3 linked regions of the Coturnix japonica genome follow. The protein of the gene in region 2 purifies or fractionates together with the protein of the main gene of each other region. This does not show direct contact. Links are inferred from orthologs where the notes say so. Each region holds a gene or a part of one and is shown on either strand. Other genes may lie near its edges.

Region 1 (3,655 bases), on a different chromosome or scaffold from region 2:
CTATATCAGCCCTTGTTTCTTCTTGCATTCTCACTGTTGCTCCTCAACATACACACACCTGTGCTTTAGTACAAATTCATCCCAAGTGCTCTTATCTTCCATCACTTACCACCTAGGAGAGCAGAGGCACTCCTAGGCTGGGCTCCTCTCACCTTATGCTGGCTGGAAGTGCAGCTTCCAGCAGATTCTAACATTTAGGTGGTGAATTTCACACTGTTTGCTCACTGCTTCTTGTCAAAGCATTCCCTTCATTATTATTTTTTTAATAATAATCTAACTACTAATATAACTCAGGTTTAATACCAAAGGGTTGCTTAATTTATTTTTCTTACAGCCAACACAAAACTGGGTTATATTTGTCCCATCTCTCTGACAAATACAGCAATATGCATGCTGCTAAAATGGAAGCTTATAATAATATAAGAGCACCAGTAATTGCTTCACACTAAAATAAAATTCAAAGTGACATACCTCAAGCTTTGCTCTCGGGATTCCTGCATCTTGGCTTTCTTCACCTGCAAGGACAGAAATGTTCAGAGGCACAACTAAAAAGAGCTGTCCTTGGCAGAATCAGCACACACTGACCTCCAGCAGGACATCACCAGTGGTTACTTTAGTTTGCATTAGTGTTGAAAAGAAAGCCTTGCATTGAACTGTACAGCTAACTAACAAGTTTTCATTAGAAAAAGAAGTTTCAAAGGGGAAAGGAAGGAAAGGGAAAAGGGTGGAAGACACAGCTTCTGCCTCAGGTCAGATCACCTCCACTCAGACTGATATTCATAGACCAATTTCTGAGTGGAAAGCACAACCCCCAACCAACCAGATGATGAGTTGCTGAAGCAAACACAACCAAAGCAATGGTAGCATTACTGCCTGTAGCAATGTTATGAAGAAAGGACTGTACACCAGTCAGGAATGTGGAGTTTAACCACCATCCCCGTGGCAATTTGAGTTGAGAAAAACCTTCAGCCCAAACACCTGACAGCCATTTTTCCTCTGTCTTTTCAGCAGCACTGCAGCCCTTCCCACCTCAGGGTTCTCCCCATCATTCACATTTACTGCCCAATATGAGAACTCCTTCCAAACAGATCAGCTCTGTGGGTGTCTGCAATGCACATAACACAAGTTCATCAGCCCTTGCAAAAAGACTTTTGTCACTTCCTGTCTTCCAGGATTAAATAAAATATCATAAGAATCAACTACATGTGTCCACAATGCATTCAACAAATAAGAGATTACTACAAGAAATCACTTGTAAAAGCCAAATAATAGCACTTCTTAAACTATTTTTGTCATGGAAAATGTCACTTTTGGTCACTTCTCTCTAAACTTTCCTTCACTTTTTTACTTCCCAAGTTTATATTTGGTTTCCAGCACTGAGTCTCACACAGACTTTTCCACTTTAAATTGAGATCTGAAAGGGGAAAAAGCATCTAAAAATAGGGACAAAAGTCTTGCCTGTTTAGCATCCCTGGCAGCAGAATGCACACTAAATGGAGGGAGTAAAACACATTTAACTCCAAGTGTGACGACTTCCCTACAGGCTCCAGATTCAGTCACCAACAGTTTGCAATGACCATTATTAGGAAAAGAAAAATCATTTGAGAAAGAAAACAAGTTTGTGCAGTATCAGTTCTGGGTGATAAAGCTGAAAAGATGATATCACATCATACAGCTTTGATCAGTATAGTCTCAAATTCTGCCTCAGAATGACTGAGCAGCAAAAGGTACCTAAATGAAATTAGATAGAAAACCTTCAGCAAACAATTAAAGAGTCTGCTTACAGGTAATGCTCTCATGTGCCAAAAACAAGCCGTGCTCCATCTCCTATGCCCTGAATAATAAAGGTTAATAAAGGTAATTTTGGCTAAGTAATGCTGTAATAACAGATATTTCCTTTCTTATTTTAGTTTAAATCCTGCAGACATCTAGACTTCCAATTCTGTTTCTGCTGATTAGCCTTGTGTTTTATGCACACACACTCATAATGATTTGCACGTTGTGTCAGAAAGCATAACTTAAATAATTTAACCTCATCGGTATTTTTAATGTGGCAGAATCACAGATATCTAGGAAGTCTGGACAGCAATTCCTATCTTAAGATACACCTACCTACATCAGTGCCCTGTTCAATTAAGGGTTGTAAATAATGCTCTCCAGCAATAGAGATGATGGCATGCTTAGGGTTGTGGAACCTTTTCAAGATCTTAGGCACAAGAATAACTAAAACTTATTTATAAGGTAACAGGCAGCATGCAGATTCTGTCATTAAAACAGTGATTTTTAATTTCTTCTAGGATTATAAATGGTCTGGTTTTCTCAGCAAAACAGATAATTACTAGGCATAATTTTACATAGAAGCACTACAGAGTTTAGGCACACATTCCTTTTATTACTGCTTTAATAAAGGACAGCCTTACTGCCCATTATTAAATACAATAACTGCATGCTGAGTTCGTGAGATCACTGATTAGTTTTACATGCCCACCTTGAGTATTATTTAAATGTACTTACTGGTTGCTCGGGTAAATCTTGTGGCTCTTCCATGGGTATTACTATTTTAATGCTTGAATGATTCAAATCGTGTCCTCCTCGGCAGTCTTCAAAGCCTGTCAAAAAAAGGTGTTCATAGCTTTATGTACTTTTGGGGGGACTTATCATTTAGGCTATCAGAGAATGGTAATTGTTATATATTCCACCCACAAGCTTTCTAAACTCGTGTTGCCATCTCGCAAGTAAGAGACAAAATTCATATACGGAAAGATTTCATAAACAAGGGATTTAGCTTTAAGCTTCAACTTACAGACATTTTTCATCACGTGGCACATTTCTACATCATTTGCTTGTACCATACTGACCACAGAAGCTAACGTGTCAATCAGACACGTGCACCATGATTTTAAAGACACTTTAAATGATCGAGTCTGGTCTACTAGGTCAGTAAACAGAGTGATTCAATCTAACCTGTTTTAATTTAGAACATTTATATAACAAACACACACACACACACAAAATCAGGACAAGAGCGTACGTGAATTTACATACAGCACTGCTTACTGTCAAGTTCACAAAGAAAGTTTATTATTCCAACTGCAGCCCTCAAAAAAGAGGTGTTTGATGAGCACCAAAAAGTTAACAGACAGTAACCCAGTCACATATTTAGCACAGAGTTCCTATATACTGCACCAAAAAGTTGCCATAGACCAGCATTCATTGACCATTGACCATATATTTTGACTTGGTCTTCTGGGATCCCCTCTTCCCAGAGCCCACTCAGCAAAGCTGGCCCCTACGTTGGCACCATTACAACTTTCACCCTCAGTTTTAACTGTTAACCATAGAGATAATACAGAAAACCCAAGACAGAAAAGAAGCTGCGTCATTCAAAGGTTATAACTACAGGTGTGGGATACAAATGCCAATAGCAGCGATGTTTGAATTTGCTATCACATCAGTCTGGTCCTGCTCCTTTGTCCTTTGATTTTACAGTTTCATTGCATACTTTCTTATTGAACTCCAAAACTGAACTGATCAGTATGGAAAAAACATCACTGTCACACTGCCTTCTAGAGAATCTATAGCTCCAGAAACAGCAGGTAGGGCAGAAAATGTCTCAGTGTTCTCACAGAGAAGCAAGCAGAACAACCAGAAGAAG
Region 2 (3,195 bases):
TCTTGTAACTGTTCTGAGAAAGCTTTAAAATAAATCCGTTTAATTTTTCTTCCTGTCTTCGCTAAAGGGGGATTCCCTGGGAAGTCAGTCTTGTGGTGTGCTGTCTAATATGTGTATTCATCTGTCTTTACCTCTTTCCTCTGTATGAGGGCTGCTGTGAAAGTAATGCGAACTGGGGCACGTGGTGAACACAAAAGGAAGTTCTGGTAATCATAGAATCACAAGGTTGGAAAGGACCTATAAGATCATCTTGTCCAACTGTCCTCCCTTTACCATACCTACAGAAAACCCCTAAACCATATCTCCTAGCTCCCTATCCAGATGCTTCTTGAACACTGCCAGTGATGGCGACTCCACCAATGTGGGCGTAAGTGATGGCTGGAAGCTTATTTCTCTATCTTCAACTTCATTAGAATATTAAATAATAAAAAGTGTTAGCTCATCTCCCTTCCAGCTAAAACATTTGAGTGTGTGGTATATGATGGATTACATGGAGATAGGAGGTTATTCCAGTGCAGGCAGGTTTTTTATTGCTTGTTTTCTTTCTTAAACATGTCCTCTGTATGTTTTCAATACAAAGGGAACTTTAACCTTGGGTAAGAATTCTCAATGACATAACTTTTGTCCCTTGTGCAGAATAGGAGTTTCAACTCTATCATCTCTAAAACTCAATTGTCTTCCAATCTTTTAACACAGAAAAAAAAATATGGGATTTTTACTTTTTGTACATAGTTGTACTTTAAATGTGATGAAATTAAATCCCCAATATTATAGGTAAATAGATCAAAGGCAGTACCTTCTTGCACTGGACACACTGCATGGCAAACTGTTTTTCGTAGCAGGGAACACAAAAATTTTGATTGTCTTTAGGAATGAAACTCTTTGTCCCAATTGGTTGCTGGCAGCGGTAGCAGATAAAGCAGGTCTCGTGCCAGCTGTTGCCTTTGTATTCCATCTTCCGAGTACCTGTAATGAGACCAGAATGTAAGTAGAATTTATGGCTGATACTAATGCTTTTTGTAACTCTTGTTTACATGACAGCTGGCTGATGGAAAATAAATAGTGCAGCTATGAGGGAGTGGCTTTGCATGGAATTGGGTGTTGCTTTGAGTTTTTAGAGAGTAAGTGGTTTTCCTAAAAAGAAGAGAGGCATTTTCTGCTAACAATAAAAGCTTTGGTGACTTTTTAGAAGGCTGACATGATGTTAAGTGGTTAGAAGGCTGACAAGGTGATAAAGTATTGGCTAATTATGAAAAGTTGTAATAATTTGTCTCTGCAGGATGAAGTTTTACCATTCTCCCTTTGTCAAATATTAATTCTTCGTTTACTAGTAGCATAATTTTATTTTTTTTCTTTGGTCTCATTAAGTTCTGCCCAAAGGCATACTCCAATATATACATATTTTTAAAGGACCGACTTGTGCACCATTAACCATCTCTCTGCTTGTTTCTTACATGCTCAAGTGTTTGTGAGACATTTTATTAATGGACACCCTTTATGAATTGTGTGCACATGGTGCACACGAGTCAGTCCTCCAAGGAAGGACGTTCTGGGAAAAGATGGGGACACATTTTCTTGGGATTCTCTAGAATTGTATTTCCATGTTTTAAGCTAATCCCTATTTTCGGAATAGTGTTATCAGTAAAACACAAGGCATGGGGAATCCCGTTTGTTACCTGCTAGTTTGAAGCTGGTGGGAATTCAGTTTGCAGGACTGAAAGATCAAGCCTGTAATTACTTAGCATTTAATAAGCTTGTCATGAAAATGCTTTATTAAATCAAGGGTATATTGAGTAATCTGCTGAAAACCCTGTAGCTGCTGCAGAGGTTTTTAAAAATTGGTTTATTCTGTTTTGAATTGTAAGAGAAGAAGGGGATCTCTTAGTCACTGAATCTCAACTCCATTACTACCTATCAATCTGTAACTCAAATAATAGAGTTCTGTTCTGTAAATGAGCTCTTACGGGACTGAGTTCATTCTGAAAACTGGGTTCTGATTGCAGAAAGTATCACCAGCTGTGCTTTATGAAGTTCACCATGATTCAGCAGAGAAATTTAAGGTCACAATTGTTGCTGAGAGTAGGTTTGATATTAAACATGAACTTTCTTCTGCCCCAAACGTTAAGTATCCTAACCTGGCATAATTGTCTTCTTGCACTCATTACACTTTGATGAATATTCATTGGAGTAGCATTCAGTACAAAGTAGATGTTCCTCTTTTGCAGCAAAAGGTTTGTCCACCAATGAATTCTTGCACTGGAAGCAGTGGAAGCAGGTTTCATGCCAGTGGCGCTCCTTGTAAGACAGATCCTGCAGGAATTAAAAACCACAGAGTAAAGAGAATGAATAACTTGCTCAGTTCGAAGTTCAGAGAATGCAAACATGCAGATCTGAATCAGACAGAAATTAAGGCTAATTTGCATGGCACAGGAAAATAGCATGTTCTGATGCAGGTGAGTCTATTTTACCATGGCTGCCAAAAGTAGCTGATGACAACTATCAGTCCTCTTTCAATTCCAGGTCAGCTGAAATTCAATTTCGATTCAGCAGAGGAAGAAATAGTTTCATTTAGATATTTCCTTCGAGAATGAAGTCCTAGTTTTGATTCAGATTAGATTTTGTTAACTGTAGGGATATAATGTACTTCATATACTTTTCTCAGTTATTGCCAATTTCCAGGTCATTTCATAGTTTCTTCTTTCTGAGCATTTATCCTTTTTCCAGTCTCATATGGATGTTTTGCCAGGTTTAAACCAAGGTTGAAATTGGCCTGATGCTTTTTTTCTTTGTGTGCACGTTGAAATTAGTTTTTAACCAAGTCTTTGTTCTTAATTTTACGGATGTATGTTTCAAAAGAGAATTGGATGCCTTGATGGTGACTGAACACTCTGGGAGATGAGAGACCACAGTGTACCTGCAGCCACTGATCCAAAACACTCTTAACCAAGGAATTAACACCTTAGAGCACATAGGTGTTTAAAATATCTCCCCAGTGACGCTTGTATTAATTAAAACAAAATATAACAACAAAAAAAGACGCGTGTGAAAACCAGTCCTGTGACTTACAGGGATAGATCGTGTCTTTGCAAATGTTCCACAATTAGGCTACGTAGAGTTTTACCAGAGTCTTATGGAGACCAAAGTGGAGCTCAGATCATTACGAGTATCTGCCCATCTGCTAAACCTTTTGAAACA
Region 3 (3,655 bases), on a different chromosome or scaffold from region 2:
ACATACGCTACAATGCGAGCTCATTTGAGAGCCTGTTAGCTACTGTAATCATTAGTAACTCCCAAATTCTCCCTCTGGATATTTATTAGCACTCACCCTCCCTATTAGAAGGAGAAGCAAAACTCCAAGAAATAGCTTTGAATTCTATAATGCCAAACCCACTAGCTAAGATCTGTGGCAATGTCAGCAGTAGGAGCACTTAGTAAACCAAATCAGCACTTACCGTTGGATTTAAGGTAATATGTGGAGCCAAACCTCCTAACGAATACACATTGATGTCATGATAACTGTACTGGGGCTGTGGAGGAACTGTGGCTGTACAAGTGGTGCTGGTAGCTGGAGTTGTAGAAGCAGCTGTAAGAATATAAAAATGCTTATTTTAACCATTAGGGAAAAGTGAGTGATTAAAATGGAAGCACGCACATCATTTAAGTGATGAGTTCTGACCATAATGCTTCCTTACAGGTACCCAGCTTTTTTCCCCCCACCTCCACAGTGTCTAGCACCAGGTTAACTTCAGGGCATTTTGGCAGCTGTTTGTTACAGCAGGGTTTGAACCCTGCTACAATCTCAATCTGTCTCCCAGCTTCACTCTCTTCTAAAGAGCAGTTACACACAGCACATGCAGAATTAGTCCGTGGGATGGCTTCCATTCCTCTCCCATCTCCTAATCCTGTTAACATCCTTCTATTACACCACTACTTTAGTGATTCTAAGCTTTCAGTAATGTTACAGCAGTGCAGATAGCTTCAAATTCTTCTCTACAAGCCTGTCTTTCTAAACTTCATACAGCACTGTTCTGAGTTTGATTTGAGGCATACTTACTGGTGGTTGTGATGGGTGGCAGCTCTTCTGGCTGCTTCACATCTTTCTTAGGAGCAGACAGCTGCTCATCCAGATTTTTCAGACGATCCTTATCTTTCAGGAGGCTCCCAGGTTTCAGCTCATTGATGTCCAGTGCAAGATTCTTGCAGAGCACTTCGATCTCAAACTTCAGATTCAACTGCACAACAATTTTAGTTTAGGTTATGTCACAAGGAAAAAAACCCAAACTGGCTGTTCTAAACCCAAGCTTCATGTTCTAACTCATGTTGTCTTTTCTTTTGCATAAGCAAGTGATGGTTAGACAAACAACCTGCACATTAACCTCACAGAAATCAAGACTCACCCACGCTCTTACTAAGTTAGCAATGCCCAGTTCCTCACACAATGAAGTGAGAAGTGAAATTTGGTCCCTCACAACATGTTTCTGACTGGTATTGTCAAGAAAACCTCAAGCTCAATAGGTACAGCAAAACAGAAAATTTACTTTTAGATCATGTTCTTGATGCAGCTCAGCTAAAACATTCATAATAGCCATTGTCCATGGGTTTGGAGGCCTGAAAACCTGCAAGAGAAAATGCAAAGCAGCATTACACAGTGGTCTGGAATGGTTTAGTTCCCTTAAGACTAATACATTTTGAAACTGAACCATTACATGCACATACAGACAGGGGAAACTGAAGTTTACACAGCTGCAGGCAAAGCTGCTTTTAGTATTGAGAGAAAGCAGATGAACAAGCAAGCTGAACGCCAAACTGGAAGCACAATTACTAGACCCTTCTGAGAGATCAGTTGCTTAGCCAAGCAGAGTTAAAGAGAGCTCATCAGAGACAAAACACGCATGTTGAGGGTGGAAGGAAATAAATCCACCCAAATAAGAAATAGATCCTAGAACCCCTCCAGTGGCATCCTTTTGTTTCTCAACAGAGGTCTGTGTCTGGGGATACTACAGTACAGTTCAGCCAACATCATCTGTTTAGGATGGACCCCCCCCCCCCAAAAAAAAAAAACAGAACAAAAAACCCAACCAGACAAGTACTTTATCTCAAAATGGAACTAACTTGAAGCCGTGATATCCCTTTACACCCCCCACTACACATGAAGTTCATTGGGTTTAATGAGAAGCACTACTTAATTTCTGCAATGCTTGTGTTGCCACTTGAGCAGTAACAGCCCCAATGTAGTCACTTACCACACTCCTGACACTGGATTCTAAGACTTTGGCAACAAATGGTACTACATAAAGCAATTCCTGCTGTCCCTTAACGTACGCTTCCAGTAGTAGTGACTTCACATCCAAATCCTGAAAAACACCATCAACAATTAAAAAGGGTAGGAAAGCAGAAAGAAAAAAACAAGACCACTGCAGAAATTCCATTGACATGTTATTTTCTTATAGGATATAATGGCAAAACAGAGTTTTACGGAATGCTAAAGAGTGATCTTGCATTTGAACAAAGATTCACAGATGGATATTTTGACGTAATATTACCCCCTTCATTTTGGTGATAGCATTTCCAAAACAGCCTATGCTGCTGAATAATACCACAGTAGTTTGCGTCAAGCAAGTCTGTGAAGACAGAAGCTTACTGTGTGCAAGATGGGCTTATTTTTAGCCAGTGTAATCATTCCCAGCCAGTGACCAAGGTTCTTCAACAAGGAACGGTCAGAGAAGTTGGCTGCAGCCTTATCTGATGTCAGTAGCACCTAATGGAAAAAAACAACTCAAGCAACAACTGGAAGATAAATCAGACACAACACCAAATCAAACAGCTGCTCTGACCTGAAGCAGAACACCAAGTTCTGAGCTCCAGTCCCATTACAGAGATAGTCAAGAGCAGCCTTTACCCTCAAGGTAGCATCCCACCAATCTGCCTTGTAATGACTTCAAAATTCCTTTACTTGGAGGGGATCAGAAAGGATTACGCCTTCCCAGAGCTTTCCAGTTACTGATAAGGCAGCTAGGCTACCCAGCAAAATGTAACTTGGGAAGACAATGCTTCTTAACACTTCATTGCAGACCAGAAGGCATTTCCTGGGAAACGATTTAATTCTTACTTCAAGACCTAAAACATGCTCTAGCATTCTACTATTAGCTTTGTCCCTTGGCTTCAGAGCAGCATCAGCCAAACAGAAGGCCAACCACACTCTAAAGAGCCAGGAGATTCTTTTGCACTACAGCGTAACCCACGGTGGCCAAGAAAATCCACCAACAGGTTTAAAAATAGTGCTTCCTTGACAGATTTGATTCACTCACTCACCTCATCAGGGCTATTTCTTCTTGACCTCTTCAGCATGCACGTTAATTTAGTCCTCTAATGATTTTTAGTTGTTACACTTCTGTTTACTCTAGCTCCCTATCCTCTATTTTTCAGCTAAAACAGCAGAGTGTGGTTCTCATCCTGATACTCTCCCACACAAACTAGACCACAAAGAAATTTTCCCTGCCGCAATTTGCAGGCCTCATACAAATATGGACTTAAATGCAGATATACCCTCTTAATCCTTTCTGACTGAAAACAAAACAATCCCAGTATTCATACAGTAAGATGTTAGCTTAAGCTGAAGTAGACTTTCCCAAGATACTCCATTTCTGAAGATAAGCAGCACAGGAAGAAAATGGCCTGAGAACAGCATACCTCTAAATGCTAAAACTTACCCAAGTATTAGAACTTGTGCACTCACCTTGATATTTCTGTAAGTCTCATTCAGAACCATTTTATTAAATTCTGGATTCTTAAGAGTGTCGAGGAAGTTTGAATATAAGCTGTGAAAATTTGGCTCAATACTGACTCTCTTCATCACGAGATACTGTGATACCCAAGGCATGAAC

Evidence for each region. The genes of interacting proteins can lie anywhere in the genome.
Region 1: the proteins of FHL2 (region 2) and EYA3 purify together in Homo sapiens (affinity purification with mass spectrometry; 3 studies listed by BioGRID and IntAct, with this or other methods). This does not show direct contact. The link is inferred for Coturnix japonica from reciprocal best matches to the Homo sapiens genes FHL2 and EYA3.
Region 3: the proteins of FHL2 (region 2) and CNOT1 purify together in Homo sapiens (affinity purification with mass spectrometry; 3 studies listed by BioGRID and IntAct, with this or other methods). This does not show direct contact. The link is inferred for Coturnix japonica from reciprocal best matches to the Homo sapiens genes FHL2 and CNOT1.

The regions. Positions count from the first base shown.
Region 1 is NC_029538.1:1,391,179-1,394,833, forward strand, and holds part of EYA3 (eyes absent homolog 3), read right to left. Parts: intron 2,610-3,655; coding exon 2,515-2,609; intron 516-2,514; coding exon 472-515; intron 1-471. UniProt on the Homo sapiens protein: Tyrosine phosphatase that specifically dephosphorylates 'Tyr-142' of histone H2AX (H2AXY142ph). 'Tyr-142' phosphorylation of histone H2AX plays a central role in DNA repair and acts as a mark that distinguishes between apoptotic and repair responses to genotoxic stress.
Region 2 is NC_029516.1:121,881,686-121,884,880, forward strand, and holds part of FHL2 (four and a half LIM domains protein 2), read right to left. Parts: intron 2,311-3,195; coding exon 2,136-2,310; intron 967-2,135; coding exon 797-966; intron 1-796. UniProt on the Homo sapiens protein: May function as a molecular transmitter linking various signaling pathways to transcriptional regulation. Negatively regulates the transcriptional repressor E4F1 and may function in cell growth.
Region 3 is NC_029526.1:1,180,122-1,183,776, reverse strand, and holds part of CNOT1 (CCR4-NOT transcription complex subunit 1), read right to left. Parts: coding exon 3,508-3,655; intron 3,055-3,507; exon of another isoform or gene 2,919-3,054; intron 2,530-2,918; coding exon 2,413-2,529; intron 2,126-2,412; coding exon 2,015-2,125; intron 1,388-2,014; coding exon 1,310-1,387; intron 1,004-1,309; coding exon 826-1,003; intron 355-825; coding exon 224-354; intron 1-223.